Linked DNA regions of Oreochromis niloticus. The protein of the gene in region 2 binds, or shares a complex with, the protein of the main gene of each other region. Links are inferred from orthologs where the notes say so. Each region holds a gene or a part of one and is shown on either strand. Other genes may lie near its edges. The genes, in order: serpind1, f2, fga and fgg.

The links.
Region 1: the proteins of f2 (region 2) and serpind1 are in contact, whole or in part, in a crystal structure (PDB 1JMO), measured with the Homo sapiens proteins. The link is inferred for Oreochromis niloticus from reciprocal best matches to the Homo sapiens genes F2 and SERPIND1. Residues at the interface, in NP_000497.1 of Homo sapiens: Lys384, Ser385, Pro386, Gln387, Leu389, Leu390, Cys391, His406, Cys407, Tyr410, Pro412, Trp413, Asp414, Lys415, Leu423, Arg425, Ser430, Thr432, Arg433, Tyr434, Lys440, Ile441, Ser442, Met443, Asn458, Leu459, Lys470, Trp511, Ala513, Asn514; in NP_000176.2 of Homo sapiens: Glu75, Asp76, Asp77, Asp78, Tyr79, Leu80, Leu82, Ile85, Phe86, Asp89, Asp91, Val305, Glu306, Met307, Thr308, His309, Gln327, Asp343, His361, Lys362, Arg388, Thr457, Val458, Gly459, Phe460, Met461, Pro462, Leu463, Ser464, Thr465.
Region 3: the proteins of f2 (region 2) and fga are in contact, whole or in part, in a crystal structure (PDB 2A45), measured with the Homo sapiens proteins. The link is inferred for Oreochromis niloticus from reciprocal best matches to the Homo sapiens genes F2 and FGA. Residues at the interface, in NP_000497.1 of Homo sapiens: Phe382, Lys384, Ser385, Gln387, Leu423, Arg425, Tyr434, Glu439, Lys440, Ile441, Ser442, Met443, Lys470; in NP_000499.1 of Homo sapiens: Trp52, Pro53, Phe54, Cys55, Ser56, Asp57, Glu58.
Region 4: the proteins of f2 (region 2) and fgg are in contact, whole or in part, in a crystal structure (PDB 2HWL), measured with the Homo sapiens proteins. The link is inferred for Oreochromis niloticus from reciprocal best matches to the Homo sapiens genes F2 and FGG. Residues at the interface, in NP_000497.1 of Homo sapiens: His450, Pro451, Arg452, Arg461, Arg486, Ala489, Ala490, Leu493, Ile530, Val531, Glu532, Arg533, Cys536, Asp546, Asn547, Met548, Phe549, Cys550, His605, Phe607, Arg608, Leu609, Lys610, Lys611, Trp612, Lys615; in NP_068656.2 of Homo sapiens: Pro439, Ala440, Glu441, Thr442, Glu443, Tyr444, Asp445, Ser446, Leu447, Tyr448.

The regions. Positions count from the first base shown.
Region 1 is NC_031977.2:26,090,358-26,097,297, reverse strand, and holds serpind1 (heparin cofactor 2), read left to right. Parts: upstream 1-3,925; 5' UTR 3,926-4,084; intron 4,085-4,249; 5' UTR 4,250-4,257; coding exon 4,258-4,517; intron 4,518-4,777; coding exon 4,778-5,421; intron 5,422-5,505; coding exon 5,506-5,654; intron 5,655-5,778; coding exon 5,779-5,903; intron 5,904-6,042; coding exon 6,043-6,187; intron 6,188-6,318; coding exon 6,319-6,510; 3' UTR 6,511-6,841; downstream 6,842-6,940. Other genes in the region: pi4kab (phosphatidylinositol 4-kinase, catalytic, alpha b), read right to left, coding at 622-741, 908-997, 1,258-1,341, 1,577-1,658, 1,747-1,871, 1,963-2,033, 2,121-2,203, 2,312-2,445 and 2 more. UniProt on the Homo sapiens protein: Thrombin inhibitor activated by the glycosaminoglycans, heparin or dermatan sulfate. In the presence of the latter, HC-II becomes the predominant thrombin inhibitor in place of antithrombin III (AT-III).
Region 2 is NC_031986.2:26,272,762-26,280,375, forward strand, and holds the start of f2 (prothrombin), read right to left. Parts: upstream 3,005-7,614; 5' UTR 2,920-3,004; coding exon 2,847-2,919; intron 2,182-2,846; coding exon 2,101-2,181; intron 1,641-2,100; coding exon 1,561-1,640; intron 1,473-1,560; coding exon 1,448-1,472; intron 1-1,447. UniProt on the Homo sapiens protein: Thrombin, which cleaves bonds after Arg and Lys, converts fibrinogen to fibrin and activates factors V, VII, VIII, XIII, and, in complex with thrombomodulin, protein C. Functions in blood homeostasis, inflammation and wound healing.
Region 3 is NC_031967.2:50,326,319-50,333,374, forward strand, and holds the start of fga (fibrinogen alpha chain), read right to left. Parts: upstream 2,913-7,056; 5' UTR 2,899-2,912; coding exon 2,848-2,898; intron 1,178-2,847; coding exon 1,076-1,177; intron 560-1,075; coding exon 376-559; intron 1-375. UniProt on the Homo sapiens protein: Cleaved by the protease thrombin to yield monomers which, together with fibrinogen beta (FGB) and fibrinogen gamma (FGG), polymerize to form an insoluble fibrin matrix. Fibrin has a major function in hemostasis as one of the primary components of blood clots.
Region 4 is NC_031971.2:14,055,029-14,062,120, forward strand, and holds the start of fgg (fibrinogen gamma chain), read right to left. Parts: upstream 3,014-7,092; 5' UTR 2,916-3,013; coding exon 2,853-2,915; intron 2,767-2,852; coding exon 2,719-2,766; intron 2,606-2,718; coding exon 2,419-2,605; intron 2,298-2,418; coding exon 2,213-2,297; intron 1,774-2,212; coding exon 1,643-1,773; intron 1,350-1,642; coding exon 1,216-1,349; intron 1,023-1,215; coding exon 838-1,022; intron 665-837; coding exon 387-664; intron 288-386; coding exon 103-287; 3' UTR 1-102. UniProt on the Homo sapiens protein: Together with fibrinogen alpha (FGA) and fibrinogen beta (FGB), polymerizes to form an insoluble fibrin matrix. Has a major function in hemostasis as one of the primary components of blood clots.

The DNA.
Region 1 (6,940 bases), on a different chromosome or scaffold from region 2:
AGCAAGCAAAATAATGTCACACAGACTAGTAAGCATGCACACGTGAACATAGACTTCTACAAATTTTTTAAAGAGCTACAAAATAAAACACACAAGCTATATGTGCACAACAAAAAAAACAACACGAAACTTTTTCTGAATACAAACAAAAAGCCAACGTCTTTGGCAAAGCTGCTAAATTGCACATGGCATGTTAAAAAGCACTTTATGTTGGACAGTTGTTAATGAGCATTCAATCAACAAACCTGGGAGGCCATTTGGAATTAAACATTCTTAGTTTGCAGTTTGTTCCAAGTACAGTATGTTACCAAAATGCTCTTGCTCTTGTCATCTACTGCCCTCTAAGTATTCTGACTACATACATCTTTGGTAAAACCGTATCTTTGCACTAATTTGCATCTAAACTATATATAAAAAAATACCGTATTGGTTTAGTGAACGTTATCTTTCTGCAGAATTGCTAAAATGCAGTAGATTCTATCTCACCATCAGTTTGGCTCATTTTGTCTAAATTTATCTTGACATTTAATCGGGGGTTAAATCCAATATTTACAGTATGATAACTGCGGTGATCGGAAGGATTTGTGTGAAGCCATGGATGGAAGTGTATCTGTGACTCACGCCTAGTGTAGTACTCTGTCTGTTGTAGCCTGCAAAGTGAAGTATGCTCTCTGTGGCCATTGCAAGGCCAGTGTGCTGTGACAGTCCTGACACCCAGATCTGATGCTTGTTCAGATACTCCTGCAAGAAAAATCCAAATAACAGATATGACAAGAATCATTTACAGTCACTTATGCCTTGTTTACTCAAAGTAAACACTCCTTTTCAAAACAGGTAAAAGTTAATTGCTTGCTTAAAATAAATTAATAGAGGCCATCTATTAAATAAAAACGTAAAAGAAACGAACCTGTAGGTGAGACTTTGTGACCGAAGGAGCCCATTTCATTGCTTCTTTCAGGATCTCACCACAGCGAGCAGCAAAGTCTTTTACTATGCTCTAAAAGGAGTTGGGAAATAAAGACATAGTGCTACTTTACTAAGAACAAGAGTGGCGGACAATCACTGAGTAAAATAAATTGTAGCACAAACTAAATGCCATTTGTTTATTTAATTCCTACAGTTTTTTCAAGAGCCCAAACCTCAGTCCACCATTATAATACAGTTTACACTTAAAAAAGAACTCTCTCCCTACTATTGTTGAAGCCCATGCTATGCTGCCCTCTAGTGGTCAGAAGTGTAATAACAGGCCAAACTCACCTCTCTGGCTTCATATGTGTCAGGAACAGTGATCCTGTATGGGGTGTCGGGAATGTCATAGTATGGCTGGTCCTTGTGAATGTCCTAAAGTAAAGGAGAATACATTTTGTTCACATGAAGTCTATATTTGCATCTATTTAAACACTTCTATGAGATCTCATCAGTTTCCACAAAAACAACTTAAAACCTCTTTTATTCGACCACAGCACAGCGACTTGCTGACTCTGCATTATGTTATCGGTACAGGGACCGAGAACCAGGCACTCAAACAAAGAACCTGGCACTTTGTCTATCACATCAAGCCTCTCCTCATACTCACAGCACTTAGTGACAGAGAGAGTGTCTGCAGAATATCCAACATGGTCTTCAACACACGACCGCTCCAGAGTAGATGAGGGAATCTGGTTCAGATAGAAGGACATAAAAACGCTTAGAAAAAATGATAAGCGAGGAAAAAGCAGACAAGGTAACTAAATGATTTCTACTCACGTCTCAGCCAAACCAGAGAGGTATTTGTCTGCTACTCTGCGGATCCTCTTGTGGGTATGATTGAAGTTCACCAACAAGAATTGGGCATGACGCTCTAATTCCTCTTCGTGTTCTTTGGTCTTTGCCTGAAAGCATAAGAAACAAAATGATTTTTTAAAATCTGAACTAATTAAATTTTGCAAGCTCCACATATTTTACTATTTAAATGCCCCCTACCTTCTCAGCCATCATCTGAAGGAAAACATCAAATACCTTGTCGCCAACACAAATGATGCACTGCATCATGCCTGCAAAAAAGGAAAACTGAGAAAATGGGCTCCATATATTAAAAAGACAACAGGATGATTAAATTGATTCGGGCACAAAGCTCTCACCAGATTTGTCTTTCTGGATTGCTTTGTCTTCAAAGTATCGAAACATGACCTGGAACCTATCAGGATCATTGGACCGCAGCATCCTGAGAGAGATAACAGGAGGAAATTACATTTTTGCACATTTTGACCTCACTTAAGCAATCAAAGGTGAGAAAAGACAAGGAAATTAAGCTCATGCCAATAGAGCTGACCTCATGTATTCTAATCGGTAGACGGAGAGCAGGTATGTGGACATGGCAAAGTCTAGCTTGTTAATGAGGGCAGACCCTTCAGGAGGTGGGTCAAGGAGATTGCTGATGGTTGACCGCAGTTCACTTAACTCTGCCTGGAGGAAAAAAAGATTTGAACACCTAAATATTAATTCTGGTATTCCTTTAATTAAAAAAAAACAAATCAAAACTATTTTGAACACTGTACCGGGGTGACGGTGTCGTTTTTCAGAGCTGAGTTGTACTGTAGCTCAGACCGCAGAGGTTCTCCACTGGGGAAGGTGAGAAGAGGAGACTTGGTAGCAATCTCACACACACCTTCATACCACTCCTCTGGCCAAAGCCCTAAAAAGACAAAAGATATTTCAAGAAATATCCACATATCAACACAGCCATGGCAGATGTACCAGGAAAAAAAAAAACAACCTTTCTTCAAAATAAGCTGAATCCATTTTGAACAGAATTTGGAACGTTTCTTTTATTTTTAGATATTACTTAATTTAACATCTATTACTGATCAATTTCGCTGATTTATCCTCAAAGTTTGTGCAACAACTTTGTTTTCAGAATACTTTATTAATCTCTAAGGAAATTATATACAATCATGTTTAATAATTTCACTGTAAGCCAACAATTTCATTCTAAATTATAACTGTTAATGTATTTCTTTTAATAACTTCTGACTACTATGTACTACTGACTATGCATCTATTACCTTTCCCTTCTAGATCTTGTTAAATTCTACTCAGTTCTTCACTCCTTGCAAAGTTAATTGAGCTAACCACTCCACATACCCCTGGCTACTGCAGAAGCACCTCCTAGTACTTCTGGTTAGACACTGACACAGACCTATGAATCTTATGTTTATGGTGAATCTTAAAATTAAATTAGGTTTGTGACAATTGATCTATCTTTATATTTTTGGTGTAAAATCTTCATGATTATTATATTTCTTGTAATTCTGCTCGTACAAGTCTAAGCAAACAACTACATGATCTATGTTTTACAAATGAAAGCCACAGATGCCTTGAGATTCCAAAACATCAGTGCTGAACACGGCAAGGAGCCTCATCATGGGAGGAGCTTAACCCCATAAATGCCAACTCATGGCACGAAGCTTTGAATATCACTTCACATTCATGTGATAGGATATGGTGCTCAACCATTCTTCTGTATGCAAAGCATATGAAAATTACTTAATTCTTTGCTTACCTGATCCTTCCACAGCGAAACCCATGACCACTGAGTACAACCAGAAGTCCCTAAACAGCTTCTGGAGGCGGGGCTTGGCCTCTTTGATTGGTGGAAGCCTCCTGGTCAACTATGAGTCAAAAAAAGTCAGACAAGACAGATAATTGCTCTAAATCAATAACTGTTATTGCTTAAATCAATAATTTTATGCAAAAAGTGAATATAAAAAACAAAATACTGGTACTCCCTTTGAGTACAAAAGGTTATTACACACTGGATATTATGCATACTAACAAAATGTAAGGCTTACAAATAAATTAAAAGCTGCAAACAATGTGTTACTGAACTACAGGACATTTAACTGTTAGTAAAATATATTCTTAACAAGTGAGCAGAATGGTGAAGAGTTAAAGGTTGGAGTCAGTCACAGGACGTTTTGGTCTGTTTGATCTGGTTTATTTGTTCAAGAGAAGCCCACATCAAAGTTCAGTGGTGTATTCAATTCTTTGCTCTTAGTCCTACAAACAGAAGCAACAGAAGGCTTTACACCACGACCCAGTAAAGGTAAGACATTACCGTTATTACAGACAAACTGCTGTTTTCTTTTAAAAACTAGGTTAAATTTTTCAACAGCAAGGAAATTATTTCATATCTACAGATTTTTAAGCATCTAATTGAATCAGATCTATTTAAAGTGGTCGTGCTAAATATGCATTTCCTCTGCCTCAGCCATTAGGATGTGGGTCATCACTCTCATCTCAGCAGTCTGTCTGCTGGCTAGTCCATCTCTGGCTGGAATCAAAGATCTCAGCTCTCACTTCAGTGACCCCAAACCGGACCCCAGAGGCTTCGAAGCAGATGGCACAGTGGACATAGAGTCCCTACCCTTGGAGTACCACAAGGAAAACACTGTCACTAATGACCTATTTGATGGCTTTGAGGATGAAGATTATATTGACTTTGATAAGATCCTAGCAGCAGGCAGTGATGACTACATGTGAGTATTAGTGAATTTTTTTACTGGGGTGGATTGTTTAAATATGTTTTTGTAAAAATACGTAAAGTGTATATTAACTAAAGTTCGTTTACAACATAAACACTTGTACGCTTGTGATATTTTTCTTGGTAGTGTTGATGATGTAACTGTGTATATGTGTATACACATCAACTATGGGACACATGTACAAACCACAATAAACAGTTACTTATTACTCTACTTTTAAATGGTTAGATGATGAATCTAAACATGTCTTTCAGTGAAGGGGATGAGGTCGATGAGATTGCCACACCAGCCCCCGACATTGACATCTTTGCCGAACCCTCTGACCCAAAGATTCGCCGTGCCAGACTTCTGCGACTGTTCCACGGTCGTTCTCGCCTTCAGCGCCTCAACATGGTGAATGGCCGTTTTGGCTTTAACCTCTATCGAAGTCTTCGAAACAACGTCAACCAAACTGACAACATCCTGCTAGCACCCGCTGGGATCTCCATTGCCATGGGGATGATGTCTTTAGGTGCGAGATCTGAAACCCATGATCAGATCTACAAAGTTCTGGGATTCGCTGAGTTTGTCAACGCCAGTCATCACTATGACAACACAACAGTGCACAAGCTTTTCAGGAAGCTGACACACAGGCTCTTCAGGAGGAAGTTTGGCTACACATTGCGCTCTGTAAATGATGTCTACGTCAAGAACAGCATCTCTGTGAAAGACACTTTCCGGGCAGAGACAAAGAATTACTATTTTGCAGAGCCTCAGTCAGTGGACTTCAGAGACCCTGCCTTTCTGGCTAAGGCAAACCAGCGCATACAAAAGCTCACTAAAGGGCTGATTCGGGAACCGCTGAAGAGTGTGGATCCAAATATGGTGCTGATGCTGCTTAACTACCTGTACTTCAAAGGTGAGAGAAAAAAATATGACATGCTTTCAAAAGACCCCTATGATTTCAACATGGCTGTTTGACTTTATTTGTTTGACTAAACAGGAACTTGGGAGCAAAAATTCCCTAAAGAAATGACTCACTATCGCAACTTCAGAGTTAATGAAAAAACAAATGTACGTGTGCCAATGATGACAAACAAGGGGAACTATCTAGCTGCTGCCGATCATGAATTAGACTGTGATGTCCTACAGGTGGGTGGCCACATACTGATTCAATGCTGAGTGCCAATCTTCAACAAAAATGTTCTCACAAACAGGGACGCGTAAACAGTTTAACCTAACAGCACCACAAAAAGATCAAATTTCCTTTTTTCAGCTCCCATACACAGGAAACATCAGCATGCTCATCGCCTTGCCAAGGAAGCTCACTGGCATGAGGTCCTTGGAGCAGGAGATCTCTCCCACTGTCGTCAATAAGTGGCTCAAAAACATGACAAACAGGTCAGCAGCTGAGTCACTAAAGTTTTTCAGTAGAGGATCTTTTAAAGCTACTGGTTTATGGGGAAAAGTGGAAAAAAAGTTTGGATATTGTTGCGATTTAAAATGATTCAACTATGACAAACTTCTATGTCCCCTTCAGGACACGTGAGATTGTGCTACCTCGGTTTAAACTGGAGCAAAACTATGACTTGATTGAAAACCTGAAGAAGATGGGCCTCACTGGCGTGTTTGAGGAGACTGCAGATTTCTCTGGCATGACCTCTGAAAGAGTTTCCATGAACTGGGTGAGTAATAGCAAATCGCTGACAAATGATCATGATCTGTGATCCATTCAGTCACCTGGACATCTTATTAACAGCATACAATACTTCCTGCTGTTTCAAAGTAATGTACAGATTCTGATTTCTCTCTGTAGCTGAAGCACCAAGGAATCATCACTGTGAATGAAGAGGGAACAGAAGCTGCTGCTCTGACTCAGGTGGGCTTCATGCCGCTCTCCTCTCAAATTCGCTTCGTCGTCGATCACCCCTTCCTCTTCCTGATCTACGAGCACCGCACGGACTGCCTCGTGTTCATGGGCCGGGTGGCCAATCCCTCCCAGAGCTAAACAAAAAGTTGTGTTGCACAGCTAAACTATTCATGACAAGCCTGCTTAGAATGACCGACTAGATTTGGCTGATTTTAGAAGTTGACATCAAGTAAAGAATATTTCATGCGAGTATAGCCTCCAACTGAACATTTAAAGTTCTCCCTTACATAACTCAAAGCACAGAGTGTCTCTGAATAACTCAATAAATGCTTATCTGTCTGTTAATGTTTTATCTTCTGCAATGACACTAATGTAGAAGCGTGCTCAGAAAACAGAATTTTGAAAATGTTCTTACTCTAAGGCTGAAGTGAAACAGTCACTTCTGTGAATAAAGCTTAATCTTGTAAAAAAATTTTTTTTTTTTCAACAAAGGGGGTGCTCTAAAAAAGAAAATTTCAACTTTACTATTTAAATATTTAATGTGTTAAGACCTAAAACTATTACTATT
Region 2 (7,614 bases):
GCACCTTAACATTGGTTGCCAACCAAGAAGAAGAAGAAGCTGTGAGCCAGGAGGGAGGGGGTGAGTGAGTGGGCATTTATCAATATGCGTACTTGTGCGTACTTGCGTTCTCGTGTACTCGTGATACGTCATCAGTCGGAGACCAAGCCGAGAACGCGAAAAAGTCCCGGATGTGTTCTCGATCCGCCCGTTTTATCGAGCATGCATCGGTGTGGACTTGGGACAGCTAAATATCCCAGAATGCATTTCGTCCAAAACTCAACAGCGGACTCCCGGCACATCGTTTTCAACCCCCCCCCACCACCCACTTCTCACTACTCAGGTTAAAGAAACCCCAGCAGCTGTCTATAGTATTGAGTGTCCACTAGAATAGAAATAAAAGCGTTCTAACATCTCACCTGGTTGTTTTTATTAAGGTATGTACACGTATGTACATGTACACTATTTTTATTAATAGAGGTTTCACTACTGAGGTTAAAAATGATATATAAGTCACTTAGATCACTTCTAAATGTTAATGTTTGGTTTATTTCAGTGTTTTATTTGTTCCTGAGTAAACCGGTTTGGCTGTGATTACAGTTAAGCTTCATAACATGTTACTCACAGTTAAATTAAGAGGGGACGGCAGTAAAAACTCCGGACCTGTGACATCATCACGTACGCAGGTGTTCCAATTGTACAAATCGCGAGTCCGTGCTCGCGTTCTCGGCGGGTACGTACTCCCGTGCGTTCTCGGCGAGTACATACTCACCGAGAACGCGAGTACGTACTCGCGTACTTGGGCATTGATAAACGGCCAGTGAGTGATTCGTAACAGGAAGGGAGGGGGTGAGTGAGTCAGTGATTCGTTCAACTCGTTTGAGCTGTGAGCCAGGAGGGAGGGGGTTAGTGAGTCCTGAGTGATTCGCTTATGCTATGATTCAGCACAGCAAGGGAGGGGGTGAGTAACTCAAATGTGCTGTTAGCATGCTAGCTGAACGATGCTACTGTGAACCGAGGAGCTATTGTCTTGATGTGAGCTTCTACTCAGGGTTTTTTCTTCCAGTTCAGAGCAGAAATGTTTTTGTTAGGAAACTGGATGTTGTTTTTTTCCCCACAATTTTAATTATAAGCTAGATATATTTCTACTAATGGAATTAGTTTGCTAACAGCAACAATGATGAGTCAGTGAGTCAGTTGCGCTTGTGAATCATGATTCACGAGTCAGTAAAGTGATTCTCGAGTATTGAACGATTCGTTCACGAATCGAACATCACTAACTGAATGACTTTGGAACTGTTGTTTCTACAAAACAAGAAAATTGAAGAAAGAAATGTTTTTCTTGTTTAATATAATAAAATATAGTTATGGAAAATATAGTTTCCCTGTAATAAAAAAAAAAAAAATCATACCTATACGTATCTCTTAGTATCAAATATATATGATGTTTAAATGCAGTATATCTCACCCAGGTATTTGCTCCAGAATTTTTCCTGTAGGAAGAGAGATTGTTGTGCAGTTAGACTTTGAACTGTCTCAGAACTGTTAAAGCTTCTGACGCAGAGAGAAGTAAAGACATACTGCTTCAACTGGCTGCATGAACACCTCTCCGGCTTCATTGTGGTCACAGATTTCCTCCACACACTCTCTCTCCAGGTTCCCTGATATGAAATAATCCACATTAACACACTGTAATCGTGACAGTATCATGAGACACAAACATAGAGAGCACCTGTAAAACATGTTAGGGTCATTTTGTGTCACTTCACAGTTGTTTGTTGTCTTTGTTTGGCTCTTTTTGGTTCTTTTTGATTTACTTTCCAAAATTAATGCTAACATTTAGCAGTCTCTGCCCACCTCCTGTCAACAAAGACTCAAAGCTAATATTGTTCCAAACCTGCAGCGCATGCTAAAGTAAGTGATTACAATTGAATCTGAAGTAGATACGAAAGGGAGAGAAATGAACCTGCTCCCTGTACAAACATTTATTTTAATCAAGGAGATTTTACGAGTGTTTCTTTTAAGTGTTGTTCAGTTCAGTAGACACATCATCATATGAATGGTCAAGATGTCGAACAATAGTGGATGTAATAATGAGGAGAAAAGCTGCTGTGTGGTCACCTGCTTTCAGCTCCTCAAACATCTGATTGGCTCGTCTGTTCCGGACCAAAACCTGTGATGCGAGGTGGCTGCTGAGAAAAACTACAACAAAGATGGAAAATCAGTTAAACCCTTCCAGCATCACCAACACTCAGCCTCCAGTTTAATTTAAAATCTGTTCTGTAGTCACACAAATGATCAAATGCAAGATGACCTGGGACTGTTGAGCAGCTAGAACCCTCTATCAGACAAAAATGGGACAAAGTACCTCTTTCAAAATCACATCAGCTGCTCTCCTCATCCCTGATGTTTACATACAGTTGATAAAGGAGAGGAGAGCTATACACAGGTAAACACAGGCCTTTCAGATGTGCTGCTGCCATCAAATTCAACATGAGGTACGGTTTTTGAAATAGTACATTTACTCAGCGTAAACATTTCACATGTTTTCTAAGTTCCATTTTTTGATCAAATATATTTTTGTCTGTTTGAATATAAACTTTTTGGGATTGGATTTACACAAAAATGCATTCTGTGGTCCCACAAAATGCATTTTTCTACTTTTTTTTCTTTCTAATATCAGTGAAGATTTTATCATATTCAAATGGCACAATATGCATTATAGATGAATTGCTACGTATATACATACATGTACATACACATATTCATATCAAAGTACAATTTTGATCTAGATTATTCATATTACTGTTATTGTACACATTGCAAATACCCTTGATCCTACATTAAAGAGGAAAGGAGTTCATTACCATGGTTTGCTACACAGCTGTGCAGGAGAAACAGCAGCAGAACAGCAGCAGGTTTTGATGTTGGTTCCATCATGATCCAGACCTCTGAGCAGAACCTCAGAACCAGATCCAGCAGTACTCAGAGTACTTTGTTTGTCCGTCTCTGTCTCTCTGTCCGTCCTCTGGAGGGGGGGGGATTATGGACCAAAGGGTCAAAGTTTGAGCCAGACTGATAAGTCGGTTTTCTCAACAACTCGAGTCCTACTGTGAGTTAATACTGCTGTAGTTTAACACAACGGCTCTGAAACTATACATGAATTATTGTTTGGTATTAAAACATATGAGATTCATATGGCAAGTCACAATTTACAAAATAACAAGTCCCTAAAAAAATCTTAAAATGTCTTGATTTGGCCTGTACCATCTTTGGGACATTTCTTACATTCGAACACCTGCAGTGTTTTTGATCGTTTAATAATAATAAAACCAGTTGTTCTGGTCTTTCATTACAGGCGAAAGCTATCACCTGGCAGTAGATAGATTCAGTTATCATAGTCTTGGGTTCCTGAAGTCAGCGAAAAGATCCATCGTTCTGTCCAAACCCATCATACACAAAAATTATTCAACATTTAAAATAAGATTTTTTTTAAAATGTTAGGTCAAGTTCATTATTGGAGATGACACAAACCCTACCCCTATGGGCTGATTTGGTTTTCTCTAAAACACAAGTATGGAGTTAGGCATCACCACCCACAGTTAATATGCACCAATGTGTTAGGGCTACAATGGCTTTTTGTTTTGGCCATGTGCTCAATAAGCAACACTAGATGTTACATTTCAAATAAATACTCAAATTTTGACATCAGACTTTCATTTGGGTGTGGAAATGGCCCTTAGCTCTTTCACCTCCAGTAAGTCAATTTTTCAACCATAGCAGGACATCAAGAAAAGACCACCATCAATTGTTTTCAACGTCTGATGATTGGTGACTGGAGATCAGTTGAAAGTCATATCTCTCACCAACAGGGACAGTCTCCAACCCTTCTCAGAACCTCAATATGTCAAGCAGTTAAGAAAATGGCTGGATGTTCAGTTTGCAGTAACAGTGATTTAGAAGGAATTCGTGTAATTCCATGATCCCATCAGAAGGTGCAATTTGTACTGCTGTCAAAGATTTGCTGTTATAATCTGTGTGAAACTACAGCTTGGAGTACATACACACACTGCCATTACTATTTAGTCCCACACCTAAAGATAAAGCAGCAGCCATATTAGGAGGATTTTAAAGCAAAAAAGCTTTGGCTGCTGTTCTCTTTTGAAAAAAAAAATACTATGGCAGCTTATTGCTAATGTTTGTTTGTTTTTCAGAGTTCTGAGTTTTTCTCCGTGTCTTCTTTTAAGTCACATATAGTCAGTGAGGTGTCATTCTGAAGCCCAAACCCAGGATAAAGAGGTTCAGTGAATGTGGTGTTGAAGGTGTGAATGTGATTGAGGCTGTCAGAAGAGACTCTGTAGAAGGACAGAGTGCCAGCAGCAGCATCCACATACACTGCTACTCTGTTAGAGACAGAGGATGAGGAGGGGAGACGAATGAATGTTACACTGTTGTTGTGGCACAAAGAGTAACCATCATGAAAGTAGCCCAGACACCAGGACTGATCATTCCTTCCAAGCCATGAGTGGTTTTTGTCTCCTTTCCTTCTGATTCCTTTATAACTCACGGCAATATCAACCCTTCCTCTCCACTCGACCTCCCAGTAACAACGACCAGTCAGACCATTGTTACACAACAGCTGAGGACGGTCAAATCTGTCTGGATGATCAGGATATGACTGATCCTCTTTCAGATGGGTTACCTTCCTGTTGTTGTCAGATAGTTGGAGTTTTCTGTTTACTGTGTTTGTGTCGATTGTGAGTTGACAGGAATCTGATGGAGAAAAAGACGCAGCTGCTGTTAAGCTGTCTTTTAACATTTATCTGATTAGGTACATTTTGTAAATTGCCTGCTTCAGGAGAAAGTGGGTAGTTGTGCCAACTGGCATAAGTCATCCAACTGGTTGTTTAAAGAAGTGATGCTGACATTCTGGAAAATGCTGGGTGACCACGGAACTGATCAAAAACAGAATACAGAGTTCCCTCGTTTATTGCGGGAGTTACGTTCTAAAAATAACCCACGATAGGTGAAATCTGAAAAGTAGCCAGCCTTATTTTTTTACAATTACTATAGATGTTTAAGGCTGTAAAACCCCTCACTACACACTTTATACACTTTTCTTAGACAGGCGTGAACATTTTCACATTTTTCTCTCTTGATTAAACTCTCTCAAAGTTCAAACCTTCGTAGAAAAATAAGTCCGGTGTTATAGAATGAAACCAAAGATGAAACCCTCTTTTCAGGTCAAGAACATGGAAATAGAGCAGCTGCGAGAGAATTCAACATTAATGAATCAATGGTACAGAAGTAGAGGAAGCAATAGGAATCTGGTGTGCCTTATGATCCAAAAATATGGTAACTTCTACCTTCTTATAGAATGTCCAGAAGTCCAACTTTTTGTGCGATGGTTAGCGTCATCCTCTGGCTTTTGGGTGCTACCACAGGTGCCTTTGATGGTGCAAAACGTTTTGTCTACATTGTTGTGTTTGTTGGAGAAAACGTACAAACATACAGTACAGCACTTCAGAGGTACACTGCTAGCGATCGAAGATTTATGTAAATTTGACAAGCTGAACGCTTTCTGTACTGTATTGTTTTCTTCCTGTGTATCTATTGGTGTTCCTGTTGCTGCCTGTACCTGTTGATGCTGTTATCTGCAGACAGATTCTCACTGATATCATTCTTGTGTTGTGGAAGTTTTTCCACTTAAATAAAGCCTGCAGATGAGCGGTGAGCGGTAGCTAACATTCTTTGTTGTGGAAGTTTTTCCACTTAAATAAAGCCTGCAGATGAGCGGTGAGCGGTAGCTAACATTCTTTAATCAAAGCACACAAAGAACAGAAAACCAAGCTTGGTGGAGAGCCTGCATGACCACGGGGCAGGGTCAGCAGAGTCTCACTGAGAGTAGGGTGGCTCTCACTTAAATACCTTCTCCAGGAACAAAAGGCAGTACACAGATGTTTCACACCTTAAGATTCACCACTCCCTGGAAGAGACAAAAGACTCTTCCTGTGGAGTTGTCTGCTTCCCCCAACTTCCTAACTAGACCCCCACCATTTGTCTTACAGTATGGGTGTCAGACATGTTAAAATCCAGTGGCACCAAGGCATTACAATAAAATAATGTGATTAATACATAAGTGAAAGAAATTCCTTTACAATCCCACCCTTTGATTCTCAAATCAAGAATCACATTAAAACCAGAATTTCTTTCCCAACATTCTGTATATTACATCAACATTATTTTACACTTAAAGGAGTTTCACACTGTGTATCCTAACTTCACTGTTCTCCCACCACCCTTTGTTCATCTTTAATCTTCCCCCCAATCTAAGCTCTCACATGCAAATGGCAACAACAATGATACAGAGGAAAGGTCTTCTCCAGAGTGTCAAAGTACTTTGCATGGCAAAGTGAAAAAGCATTGGATGGTCATTCCCAGTCCCAGTCATGGCTCCTGGTGTCTGTGCCGTTTACAGAGTCATAATTCCAACGCTGATCTCCCTCTGTGCTGTCACTTTTGGAGCTTGGCACGCTCTCTTCATCCCTCGATGTCTGTTCCAACGCAGCTGTAGATTTAAGGCAGAGCACGTCGTACACCTTAGTTGTCTTCCTCAACGTCAACGGCGAAACTCTTTCATTTTATTTTAAGATTTTTGCTGTTCAAAATCTCCTCGTGACAATCTTTTGGAAGCCCAGTGGTGCAGCCCACTGTCGTTTGTCTGCTGTCCTGCAGATGGTCCCTGCTTCTCACTGGTCCTCTTGAAGCGTTCTCTCCCGGTCGTGGTCTGTATCTGCGTCAGTCCTTCCATATCCCTCATGTCACGGTCTCTGCAATTTAAAAATGAAAGCTTCCACGGAAAACCCTCTTTTGCCCTATGTCAGCTTAGCACAATTAGACATGCACAATGAAGTTGTGCATTGTCTCTTAAAATTTCCCAGGGATTCTCCTCTGGAGTAGTTTCACTCCAGGCCCTGTCTTAAGAAAAGGTAAAACATTAGCCAGCGGTGTGTCCTGCTGTAAATCATGTGATTAGATCATATGATTAACCCTCTGCTGTGGAAAAATAGATGTTAGCGTAGCGCATCTGTATGCACACTTTCTCACAGTGACCTCTGCACTGTAAGCAATACAAGGTCATGAATAACACACCGCTGGTAAATTCAAAGACACAGAAAGTGACAATTAAAAGGTTAAACCAGCATGGCCCAAAAGCCCCTACAACCTGTTGCTGTCACCTTTCTGCTCCTGTAAAAGAAACATACATACATCCACCCTTTTGTCAGGTCAAGGTGGAGGTGCAATCTTGCATACTGGTGTCAAGTCAGCCAAAGCTTTTGTCAGTCCAGTCAGTCCCCATTTTTATTTGCTGACAGTAGAACCTCGTGACGCAATAAGTTTCTACTGCCAGCAATGACGTCATTTCAAAAAAGAAAAAAGAATTTAGACTGGATTACCTCGCTGAATCCTTTTTGACAGGGACTTGTTTTCTGATTGTCCCAAATAAGTGGCTTTCTCCCGAGCCCATTTTAATTTTTGGAGAAACTCACTTGCAATTGTTCAACATGTTGTGTAGCGCTTTCGATCCCGATCTTGCAGGCGTGCTTCAAAAGAGAAAATTGCCAAACAAAAATC
Region 3 (7,056 bases), on a different chromosome or scaffold from region 2:
AACAGGAAACATTTAGTTTAATAAATGGATGGACTGATTCTTACTTTTGTTTAAACACATTTTTTCAGCTGTCCAGAGATGGGAGGGTTCTGCTGGATATAAATAATTGAGATAATACTGGGAATAAAACAACATGATGGCTTCCACAAACTGGTGCGCACTCCCATGTCCCATTTCTTTCTATTAAATATCTTTTAAATATGACTGGATACACCTTTAAAGCTGCTTGTTAGGGTTGCACTTTTGATCAGTTTATGCAGATATTTATTTAACTGTGAAACAACTTCCAGGTATCCTATAACCACCTAGACTGGGTTCCTGTAACCATTAAACTCTTGACTGGGAAACAGAAGAAGTGCACAAAGCCACACTAACCAGCGTCAGTGGTTAGCTTTTCTTTCAAGTAGTCGTAGGTCTGTTTCGACACCGTATCAGCGGAGCGATGTTTGGCCTTGTTTTGATCCAGCAGGCTGCGGATTTTCTCAATCTTCTTCAGCATATTGTGATCGTATTTCTCCATCAGACCCTGGATCCTGCAGCCTGATGGACATTTAGGGCCCTAATGGATGACCAAAGAGAAGACATAATTATTCCTTATTTCTGTGTCACATAAAAATCAGAGTCATTTAAATACAGAACAACAGGTTATTATAATAATTGGCAGTACAACCAGAGGCACAAAAGCTCCAGTCTGGCCCGGATTGTACATTCTGTAGTGTATTTTCACAAGTTTAACAGTTTTTCCTACCCATAAAGACCTCCCTCATGGTCATTCACAATATACCAGTTATTATAGATTTCTGTCATTTTAAGCATTAATTCTTGCAATCGGCTCGTGCTGACAGATTTCCTTCACTTGTTATAGCAGCATCTCTTTACCATATATAAACACTAAGACATAATTTTGAAATCTTATCGATTAAGTACATAGTTAGACTTTTGCACTGACAGAAACTGGAATTTCCCCAGTCCAGCTTTCTTGTAAACATTGAATCTTAAAATTGCACACATTCATTGAGGTCAATAAGAACTTTGCCTAGCTTGAGCTCTGAGAGACAACAGGGAATCTGCATACCCATTCAACGTCTGTGCAGAAAGGCCATTCCTTCTCAGTGGCACATTTTTCACTTCTGGTGCCGTGCTCCACTGGACGACCTCCCCTGGGATCAATCTGGGCCTAGACGAAGACAAGAAAGTCAACATTGTTTTAGTTAGGGCAGAAAACATAGCTATTGTCTCTGGGTTGTTCGTGGTGTACAATGTATTTTTGAGGGGTGACTATGCACATATAGTTGCAAACAAAGAGTCTTTGTGACAGAGCCGCTATTTTAGTCCATTTGGTCTACAACAATGACTTTTACAATGAAACCCTACTTAAACAAAACCCTGGTTAAAGGCTTGGTGATACATACTGAACTTCTTTGATAAATCTAACTAAAAATCTTAAAAACAGATGCTGCACATCAAACATGTACATTATAACACGTATAACCAATTTCAACTGAACTGCTCAAATTAGGAGGTGTTTCTTTGGAATAATACTAGTGACTAAAAATACTTAAATTGTTTGCTTCTTACCCACAAATAAAGATTTTATTAATAATATTTATAAAGTAAAATACACAATTACAATAATTATATAAGCAGAAATACTTTTCAAATTTATTTATTGCAAATTTATTTTGAAATGTACTCAATTTTATACTGTTATTAGTACATAATTATTTTTCTTATCATCCTCCTAGGACCCTGGGGTGGCTGTGGCTCAGGTGGTAGAGCAGATAAACTACTGATTGGAAGGTTGGTGGTTTGATTCCTGGCTGCCTCAGTCTGCATGCCAAATATCCTTGAAAAGATACTAACCCCAAGATGCGTTCATCGGAGTGTGAATGTGTGTGAATGCTTATTAGTTGCACTTGTGTTTAGAAGTGCTTGTATGAATGGGTGAATGAGGCATGTTGTATAGAGCGCTTTGAGTACTCCGGGAGAGTAGAAAAGCGTTATTTAAGAATCAGTCCATTTACCTGGCGTCCACATATGTGGACATCACATTTTGGGTTATTTAGACCAAAATACTCAATTTTGCTCTACAAGGGCCTGATATTCACTTACGAGGACATTATGCTGCTACTGTTCTATCGAAATTTTAAATGAATATCCTCATATGTGGCTCTCATTTTTCATTTTGGTAATTCTTTGTTTTTACATTCATCGGGCCCCAATATGCTCAAATATCAAAGAGAAATTAAAAATGCATGCTGTGGAAAAGTTCGGGTCTTAGGAGGTTAAATATTACATACAAAAATTTTTAGGTCAGTAGTAGTTAATCAGTCTGCAGTATTTAACTAACTGGCTTTAAATAATATATATATAAAAACTGTAAGTATAAATGAAGCTCTGTTTTGTTAGGTCTGCTAAGTTACACATCCTTTATTTGAATTGTTAAAACAGCTAAAGATAGTGACTGTTTCTTTGATTGATCAGTATTCAGCATTCTACTCAAGCCAACGTCCACAACTTCTAAATCTTTTGTTACTATATTCATATAAATCAACAATAATAATAATAATAATAATTACCAGAAATATATCTAATAAACTTAGGTAGTAAAATAAAAGAGTAAATAATGAATAAGACAGTGCGCTCGACATCTTTATAAATAGAACAGCCAAATGCTATGTTCATGTATTCATATCAGTAAATAATAAACATATGAGTGATCAGTAAATACATAATTATTCTTGTTATTTATTAAACAACACAGTACATACACTAAAATGACAAAAAAAAAAAAAATTTCAGTGCCACATCTTTGTAAAATTATTTAAAAACATCAGAGAAACTCACCAGTGTTGAGGACACACATATCAGACACAAAAGGAAACAGAGTCGCTCCATCGTTGCCGTTTCTGTCACTCGCTCTCTGTGTGAAGAGTTGTTGCTGAATGATTTTCTAACGCTGCTCTCTGATCATTTGAAGCCTCCAGGTTCAATTTCACAAACCGGTGAGTCATCAGCAAACACTGGTCAGGTCAGATCAGAGTTGAGCAACAGCTTCTAATCGATGTGTTTGTTGTACTGTGTGTATCTTTACTCAAAAATAATGCATTCAAACACACACACTAAAGTCAAACATGCTGCCTACTCAGTTCAGTTGCAGCAGGATTTCTTGTCAGTTCCTGTACATTTTACACCAACCAAATAGTGACAAACACCAACGACACTAACATTGACTCAACTGAACTCAATCAGAAAAGGGCAACAAAAACATTAGAGGATTTTAAAATGATGGAACAGAGTTTCTATTTACTCCCATTTTACAGCATTACCGTGGGTTTTGTTAAAATATAAATGAATCTCTCTGTATTATTATTACATGCGTCAGTAAAATGTCATTTATTTACCTTTCAATACAAAGATAACAAAATGCTTCACAAAAAAACACCAGAGAATAAAAAAGTTAACTACATACAGGTAAAAAACAATGCAATGATAAAATGTATAACAATTTTTAAATAACAATAATGATTTAGCTTCTCAAGTTAAGGTGTACGTGTATAAGCCGCTTAGCTAAAGCTTCATATTTTTATTCTCTTTCTAAGGTAAACCATTAGGTAAATGTATATAAAATCAATCTAATCATAAATACTTTGTCACCAAAGACTTTATATTAAAAATGGTTGGTGTCTCCAGATCTTAAAAGTCCATTCTTTTAAATGTGTATATGCTGCTCCTTTGTTGGCATTCACACTATGAAACTTGAGTGGATGTAGCCACCATTGCTTTTACACGTCAACATGAGGCTTCTGGCTGCACCCATGTTGGATTTTAAGACCCAGACGTTATGTTTTCTGGATAAAAGTGTGGAGTGCTAAGTTAGCAGCTTGCTACTTATGAACTGAACAGGTCAAATGCAGAGATGCATATCAGCTAATTAGTGCTTAGCATCACAAAATAAAACTTTGGGAATTTCAATCACCAGAACTGAAGCACAAATCTATTTGTACCATAGGATACTACTTTAGTTATAAAGCGCTTTTTTTTTGTAATTAAAGTCTTTATTTGTTTTTAACCTTTAACCACATACAAACAAAAACAAAACAACAAACCAAACAACAACAGGAAAAAAAAAAAAAAAGACAGCTTCCAATCCCATGGTTGGGATCAGTACACACACAAAAAAAGGACAATACAATCAAATTCTTAAGTTATTCCGTTACTGAGTGCCTACACAAACATACAACATAGCAAGCATAAAATTTAACTAAAGATAATTGTCCTGACCAAATAAATTTCAACCATCTCAGCCAAAAACACGTCCCCATGATTTGTCAAAACCCTCCCTATCATCATTAATCCTAGCCAAGAATTTTTCATACGACACCATTTTCAGCATATTTTCTTTCCACCTATTATATTCTGGAGGAGATGGCTCCTTCCATACACTGAGAATAACTTGGGCCGCTGCAATTACCCCCACCTTTATAACCACAAAGTCATATTTTGAAACCCCAGGCAACGCCGACCGATCCCCTAATAAGCACAGTCTTGGTGACAAGGGTATTATTAAACCAATCCACCTTCCTATTTTGTCCAATACTTTTTGCCAGAAGGGATAAACTTTCCCACATTCCCAAATAGCATGCATAAATGTCCCTGGATCTGAACTACATTTCCAGCATATATTACTGGGACTGATTCCCATTCTATAAAGTTTGGACGGAGTGAAGTACCATCTGTGTATTAATTTGTACTGAGTAAATTTACCCCTGGCCTCTCTTATATATTTATCAGAGAATGACAAAATTCTACACCAATCTTCTTTAGAAATTGCACAACTCAAATCTCTCTGCCATATAATCCTCAAGTTTTCACATATCTCTTTTTTTAGATTGTTAAACAGTTTGTAGAAAACAGCTGCTCTATGTGCTGTACTGGACAATTCTAAAAACTCCACCACCATATTTGTGCTTTGAGTAAATTTTCCTTTGGTAATACAATCCCTTATTTGTAAATATTTCCAAAAATTATTTTCTCCTATCAAACCATATTTTTGGGTTATTTCAGCGAATGACATAAACACTCCCCCTGAGTAAAGATCACTTATCCTGTGTATGCCTTTGACAAGCCATTCCTTCCAGAACACCATTTTTCTCCCAATCTGTACAGCAGTGTTGTTCCATAGCGAGGTATAAGGTTGTCTTAAATAAGAGGCTCCACACATCTTGTGCACCTCTACCCAGACAGCTTTAGAATACCCGAGCACTGGGTTATTATGAAAGTCTTGTCCATTAATTGCTGAGCCCTGTGAGAGAACATCCAAGGGTGTAAAAGGGCTCACTAGTTCCTGTTCAATCTTCATCCAGCTCAGCTCAGAGTCCGAACCTGTCCAGTGCTTGGCCAGTCTTGACATTTCAAAAGCTAAATTATACAACTTCACATTTGGGAGGGCCATTCCCCCAATGTCTTTAGCGGCCCACATTTTTTTTTATATTCACTCTTGGCTTAGTTATAAAGCGCTTTTAAAAACAACAACCAGCCTGACCAAAGCGCTGCACATTAACACCAAATATAAGGAACATCAATATTTATCAAATCAAAAACAAAGCGATACAGTAATGTTGTGGGGATGGAGCTGGATTCCCTTAAGGTGGTGTCGGAGAGGCGGATGTTGTCCAAGATAAAGACAATGTTGGATAATTCCTCCCACCCACTCCATGACATGACATGCTGGTCAGTCACAGGAGCACGTTCAGTGAGAGACTTGGCTGCGTTCACACCGAACGCGATAGAGGCGAGCGAAAACGCCCTAAACGCCCCTAATTTGACGCGTGCACATTCGCACCTCAACGCGTGTCCAAGAAAAACCCATCGCGCCTCAAAATTGCATCTTTCCACGCGCGTGGACCGGAAATGTGGGAGGAAGTTGTGCCAGATGTGTTGTGCTGCAGATGTCCTCTGAATAAACACATTATCTTGTTAGCGGAAAGGTATTTGTACATCAGTGGGAAAATAGCGGGACAGTAGGCGGGCTTGCTAGCTTTTGCGCGGCTTTATCGGGTCAGTCTGAAAATTAAAAAGGAGAATGAATGAACTTACCAGGTTGCCCGATCTCCTCACTTCTGTGCCTCCAAGCTCGGTCCTTTTTATTCCTGTCTCGGTAGAAGTAGCAGCTGGCATCATACAGCTCTGGGTGATTAGCCACGGCAGTGATGAGTTTTTCCTCCATACGGAATGAAGAATGAAGAGCTTTGGTTTGATCTGCCCCTGTGACCTGGTTACAGCCACGTCACCGGCCTCCTGATTGGTTGTCGGGGCGCGATTTGACGCCGGAGTTCATATTTTCCAACTCCAGCGGTTGGCGCGGTATGGGCGTGTGCACAAAATGCAGCACACAATCTGACACGCGTGGTTTTCTTCGCGAGTCAAACGCGCCCCACGCGGTACACTGACGCGCGTTTCACGGGTTTTGGCGTTTTCGCGACGCAAATCTGCTTCCGCATGTTCGCCGGATGCGCAATCGCGTGTCATCGCGCTCTTTCCATTGACTTTACATGTACACCTGACGCTCTGGCCGCCTCTATCGCGTTCGGTGTGTGCGCACCGTAAGCACCACTGAACGACACAGGAAATCATTCCTGCCTGTGGCCATCTCCCTGTACAACTCCTCCAACTAATACACTGTAAACACTGCAATAGCTACGTCCTTTTTACACACGCTCTTTTCTACTCAGTAATGTTGCTGACAATATTCTTGATATTTATTTGTAATTAGGGATGGGTACCGGTGTCCGGTTCTGACATAAACGGTAATAACCAGACCGAAAAGCAGCGCACATTTCGGTGCTTTTTTTTTCCTGAGCCAATTCTAGCCAATCATTTTACGTTTCTGAGGATAGTAGGCGGGGCCAGGTACGTACGTTCTTTTAGAGCAGAGCTACAGATTAAAAATGCCCAAGGCGAAACGGTCAAAAGTCTGGCTGTACTTCACAGCAAAAGATGCAAACTCGGCAGCCTGCAACAAGTGCTTTAAGCCAGCGGTCCCCAACCTTTTTT
Region 4 (7,092 bases), on a different chromosome or scaffold from region 2:
AGAAAAACAAAAAGTCAGTAAGTTTCCATGGAGGCATTTTATTTAATCTAAGGAGTTTTCAGGGCTGTTAGTGAGAGCATAACAAAAACCTGGTCCCTTTTTTTAAGCGTCTCCAAGTCCACCAAACTGTTTGACTCCAGCCTGCTGTCCTCCTGCTGTGATGCGACTGAGGGGAATGAGCTTCATGGTGGTCTCTTTCAGGGAGTACCAGCGGTTGTGCCACGTGACCCAAATGATGCCGTTGTCGAAGCCAAATTCACCAGCATCCTTTTCAGTGTACCTGCCACCTGCATAAAGATAATGCAAACAGTTTAGAGCTCACATTAATTAGTACTTTTGTCTCTGTTTATGCTAACTGTGGCTGCTTTTAGCCAGGAGGGTCTTACCCTGGTAGTATTTTCCATTCAAATGTGCAGCATGACATCTGTTCATCCACCACCCAGAGCCGTCCTGCTGAGCACAGTTGCCGTCGTACTTGTCGTTGTCCTTGTCAAAGGTGCTGAACTGCATGCCGTTGTGTGCTGTGTAGAACTTGTCGCTGGGGTCATCTCCAAAGTCAAAACCATCAAATGCATCTCCTGCATCTCCACCGAAGTAGAAACCATAGGTCATCCGGTACATGTCGATCTCTGGCCCCACTCTGAACATGTTATAGTCGGCATACCTGGAGAAATACGGCCACAGAGAATCGTGGATCTAAAGTTAGTTTGTGGTAACAACTGTTGAATCATCTCTTTTCTTCCTCTAAGGTAACCTCGCTACTAGAGCGGTCATGTTTGCCTTGTCCACAAGTCCCTTTCTTACATAATCTGTTATCATGTGTGTGTGTGTGTGTACCTTTTGTTGCCCTCCCAGTCAACAAGCTCTATCCTGAGCACAGTGGGGAAGTTGGTGCTGGTAGTGAGCGCGTGAATCTTCTCGTTACCTAACCAGAACTCTGTGGTGTCATCTGGTGAGAGATAACCGAAGCCCTCCTTGTACTGGACCCAGTTCTTGTGGAAGTCCAGACTGCCATCACGTCTCTGTAGGCAGGAAGGCGTGATCAGAGTCATCAGTTTATTGGGTGGTTTCACCACTTAGTTAACAAAACATGATTTAATGCCTTCATGACTTAATGAAAATTGTAGTGAATATTTAATTTTACATAAATGTAAAGATTAATTAAAATAGATAAAATACACAGGAATCACTAAGTGTAAGATCAATGATACGTACTCTTTGTATTACTGTGAAGCCACGTCCAAAGCTGTCAATCTCACAATAGACCAGGAACTGCTCCGTTGATTTTAATGGCTTCACATAGTAAAGACCGCTGGTGGTGGCGCCCTTGTTTGCAACGTCCTGGCAGTCTGATTAGAAAAACATATTTTTTAAAAATGAGCAGCCTATTATGAAACACAAAAACCGGAATATTTTCTAAGTTGGGTAAATAATTATGTAATCACATCCACTACAAAAGGTCACAGGACATTACATCTAGGATAAATGTTTGCTCTGCTCTGAAGCAGCATATTGATTTTAGCCTGTGACTAAATGCTGAAAGACAACAAATGTTGTTCAGATGAGACAAGATTGAGAAACTTCTTGTGAAACAGAAATAACCTAGAGGTCATATTATTTCTTCTTCTTCTTCTTTTTTTACCTGTTCCTGTGGTGGGTTGGATCTCAACTGTGTCTCTGCAGGGCTCATTGCATTTCTGCTGCAGCTGATTCGAGAGCTGTTTCAAGTCTGCCATTCTTCTCTCATTGGAGGAGATTACGTTCTGAAGTTCACTGGAAAGAGAGGATTACAGTCTATGAGCTGTACCTTGGTTTTATACACAGATAAAAAGCTGAGATGAATCCTAAGTATGAACCTGAACTTATACAAAGATCTAATTTAACGTATAAGGTCAATAGATTTTTAGGGACGTAGTGTGGGTAACAAATGTCTCCTGAGTACACTGAACTGTGGGAATAGGTGGACACTGATGCTGCTATGTATAGAAATTCAGTTTCAAGCTTCCTTTAGAGTTTTGTGTTTTGCATCTTCACATTGAGAACCTGACAGAAGTTCATGTTTATTCAGCAACAACACATTATATTAAAAAAAGAATAATTTATATGTCGTTGATTTAAAAAAATCAATCAACAAACGAGCATTGTAACTAAATGCAGTGGAGTAACTAACTGTTGTAAGAGTATGCATTGAACTTTTGGTAAGGTAACTTACAATATTTGCTGTTCTTGAGCAATTATGGTCTTCTCAAACCGAACAACATCATCCAGGATACTTGTTGACTTTTTGAAATGCACGTCTGAAATGGAAAAAATGAGCCGGTTTGACTGTATTCTCGATTTCGCATCAATATGCTGTTCAACCTGATCGCATTAATGTAAGTGTTAAGATGATTAAACGTCACAAAATAACTGCGTTACCTGGGTCAGAGCTCTTTTGATGTGCCACAGTTGTATCTTTCATGTAAGTAATTGTTTCTTCAGCCCCTCGAGTCAAATTGGCAATTGTTTCCAGTTCCCTTAGCAACTGGTCCAAATCGTGGTCCACCATTTCTGTATATCTTTGCATGTAATCAGCAACTCCACATGTGGTTGGACAGTATTTTCCCTAAACACAGATGGAGCATGTCAACAAAACAAACAAAACTCTTTATGATGGTGTGCTTTTATAATAATAGAATCCATACTGGAAGAAGCTTTGATTTAAAGTTGCGCACTTACAAAGCCATCATTGGGGGTGCATTCTTGTATGTTGTCTCCTCGGATTTGCTGCACAAAAAAAAGGAACAATAAATATAATTTTTATGCTCAATAAAACTACATCAGCAAAACTGCAAGAGTGCTCAGTGACTTACTGCTGACGAGAAGGAGAAAAGTAACAAAAGTCCTCCTGCTGTTGTAAGAAGTGATGGAGCCATGTTGCTTTGGCCGCCAGTTGTGTTTTCGTCTTGTTGGAGAATGAAGAGAAGCTCGACTCTGTTGGTTATTTATCTGAACAAGGTCCTCAGTCCAGACTTTGATAAGGGGTTCATAGGTAAACAATCCCACTCACTTTGTTGTGAAAATCCCATGACTCAAATGTCCAACAGACATCATTGCCAGGAGTTGATGCGGTCTGCAACTGATAGCTGTGGTAAAGGACACTTCTATGAGATTGCCATGTACTGTACGTCTTTGTAAACTCTGATGATGGTAAAGCTGTCAACAAGTTGGAAGAAATCGTGACTCGCACTTTAAGACCTGACAGTATTATTGAATTTGGAAACCAGCGCAATTGAGCTCGCTCTAGCCAAGAGTTCAGATTGTAACATAGTTTATTTACTTTTCTTAAACTTTGCTTGATAAAACACAGACAACAAGCATTCCTTGAAAAAATGCCATAATATGTTCCTGTGAACAAAAACAGGATTAAACACATTGTTTTTATATTTTAGACTGATGAACAATTACAATTATTAACAGCACACATTAATAAATCATTATGATGATTACTGACTTTGGCTTGCTTAATTCAGACTTGCCTGAATGAGACTTTTCTCCCGACAACAGTAATTTTATTTAATGATGACTTTGATTCTCAGTCAGCCGGCTAAAATTATTACTATTCTTTACTATCCTAACAAGGGTCCCCTAACCCTAGCAAAGTAGTTATCTGTGGTTTCTGACATGTGATGATACGGTCATGGTATAAAGCAGGAAATGCCTTCATCATAACTACATCGCGCAGCCTGCTTGTAAAGCCATCACTGAATGCAAACAGCTTTAAAACCTTTCTGTAGTGAATCCACCAGGCTTTATAATGTCGCTAAAATATGTTTACTAGACAAACTGTTTTAGTGTAACAGGGCAGGCTGTGATACTTTGAAACTTTTATTTTGAAAGTTGACTGCACAGGCATGTAAAACCAACCACTAGTGGGAGTGGAATCACAATAGACCCCACAAGACACATACAGGACACCAAACACACCAACAAACTGAAGACTTTAGCAGGATTCAGTCTGATGCAGTGAACTGACTTTTAAACGGTTATTTTTTTGTTGTTGCTGAGCAAGAACAGAAAACTTGGGACACAACAATAACACAATTTTCTGAACTATCTAAATCTTTGAAAATAAGCTACATTAGACAGCACTGAAGTAAGCTTTGCCTTACTGAAGTTTCATGAAAACAAGTTTCTGTTACAAAGTGTCTGTGAACAAAATGCTGTTGGAAAGAATCATAGTGGAATAATCCCTGTGGACTTTGCAGTCTGTATGTATGCAGGGGAACACTAACGATCCTCTTCCTTAATTCTGCAGGAAAAATCTACTTTTCTAGGAAAACAAAGCAGCTAAGTTACAGGCTTAATTTATAAGGAGCACATGTGCTGCTGCGTTATTGTTGACTGAGCTGGAGCTGAACTGAAGCAAATACAGACCAACATGAAAGAGCAAAGAAAAAACCCCAAACTGTGGCGTGTGGTCAAAGAAAACTCAGATATGATTAATGAGTAACTGGAGCACTCTTTGTCAGGGGCTAATTTCAATTTCATGGACAAGTCAATGTAAATAACAACAGCTTTGTTGTAGATGAATGCATTATAAAACATTTTATAAAGTTGCTTTATTTTAGAGGGACATATAGTCCTATTCAGTCCATCTGAAGTAATCTCATCATGAATGCACATGTAATTTTCTAGATGATTCTATGACTTCCGTGTCTTCTGTGTTTCTGAGGGAACTTTTATTGTATTTATCAATAGTACTTAGTTGTTTAATACCCATAAGACAATACATGAACACATATTCAGCTTTACTCCACAGTGTCCACAGGCCCAGAGGGCTTTTGACCTTTATTATGGTGTTGGGAAATAACAGCTAACTGAGTTAGTGAAGCATGAATCCAGTGCATTTGAGCCCCAAGCCTTCTTGCTAACTACTGCATACATAAAAATACACATACTGATACATGCATACATCATGAGGAATTTTATACTAGCCTTTATACTACTCTATCACATGAATTTCACCCTTGGGGTTCCCTGTTGACAAAGCAATCATCAAATTAGCTAATATCCTCTACCCATTTCTCTACAAGTTCATGCTGCCAGCTTATATATGCCATTACACAATGCTCTGGGAACGTGACTGTAATCCCTGCTCATACACGTCAAATGATCAGGTGGGTATTAAATCACTTAAATCAAGTGCTGTGGGGGCATAGAAGCACCTAAACACCTAAAACAAGCAGTTCCAAGGACCAGAGTTTAGAAACAAAACATTATTGTAATGTAACTGCATAATGTTGTAGAAAATGACCTACAACAATGCTGTTTTGGTAAATAAGTTAAATCAAAGTGTGTCTTACTTCTTTAAATACTTTAACATTTAAAAAAATATATATTTCTGTACATGCATATTTTTAATATGTTTATTTCAATTTAAAGAGATAAAGGAGACACTAGTCTTAAAAGCAGCTGGCATTACGTCCAATCCGGATTTGGCTCCCGGAAGGATCTCTTCATCCCTGGGTCAAAGGTCAAACTCTCTTCTGTGCCTCATTTTACTGAATAGTCTTGTGCCATTAAATTAAAAAAGATGAAATGAAATTTTAAGGATCAGTTGGATGGATCATGGATCATACCATGGAGGGTTAAGCTAACCCCCACTAACAGAGAGCGAGACAATACAGTTAATATTAAACTAAACTACAGGTAAAAATGCATGCACTAATGCAATTTTGTGTGTGCCCAGTAAAAGCACCAATTCAGCTCATCACAAGGCTCCAGTTTCATGCTGCTCTGCTTGTTTGAGTCACAGTTACAGGAAACATGCTCTCATGAGGCAGATGAGTTTGAAAGTGCCTCTACTGTCTTTTTATGAATGAACTGACTTTTATTTCTACTGTCAAATTGTTTGCAGACTTCACTGCTATAATTTCAGAGTATGGTGGAAAAATCAAATAAGCAGACACGAGTAAGTAAACAGATCCTTCCAAAGATGCTGTGTAGTTTTAAATAGGTGTAGCTGCTGAAAATTGTTTTTCCGTGGCCATCTCTTCAAGGTGCTGTGAGCAAACACACCTCTTTTTATTACAACAGAACAAACACTAAAGATACATGTGACTTAATATAGCTTAATAATGGTTGATCTGTGGGCCCCATGTTGACATTAAATGATAAACCTTGACTACCTTTGTGTGACCAGGTTTTATTATGTGGAAAAAAACAGGCCCAGGATGGATATAAAGCCTCGCTGACCTGAGAATGAACTGCCAGGCCCATGAACCTAAACAGTGTTGAACTTTTGCTGAACTTTCTAGCGACACCAGATGGAAAGTGCCTCTTTCTTTCTTTAAGTGCCATGAAGACACGAGCACGCTCTCTAAACACCGGGTTCAGGATGTTTAGATGTGTTTTGGGCTGTTGTCGATGCGTTCACACACTCATGCCCGACTGACATTCTTACACTGTCGCACGTTATCAGGATGCAAAGCAACCAAAAAAAGCAAGTTTTTAGTTTTCTTTATAAAGACTGTGCATACTCTGGAAATAGGTCCAAAGAATATTATGCAGAATAAATGCAGTTTTCTTTAAAATGAAAACATTCACATTCCACATCTTAAGAAAATACGTCCTTCTGTCAGTAATCAACTTAAGCACCAAAGCTGAAAAACAAAGTCAGCATAGTTCACAGGTCGTCTGACCAGGAATTAAATTTAAAGAGCCTTGTTTGGATGCTTCAGCGGTCACAACTATAATTCTGGAGCTGTTTGACCGTGGCGTAAATCTCCCCAGGATGGAGGGCAAAGGTTTGCGGTTTGGCCACATTCGGGTTCAACCTGCGGCCGCGCGCGGTTAAGTCGCCTCAGCTGAAGGTGGTGTGATCTGCAGTAACACATGCGGGGACACTGACACTTTGTTGTCCACATATCACAAACTAATGTGTAAAAAGTACATTATCATCATCAGTAATTCTTCTAATATCAGGAAATGTAGCAGATTTGCAGTCAGCGTAATTCACACAGACTTTATTTGGTTCTGCTGGTGTGTTTTTGTGGAAGTAAACTTTTTATGTTAATAATGCAACTACCTGTGTTTGTCTGCTGTATATAC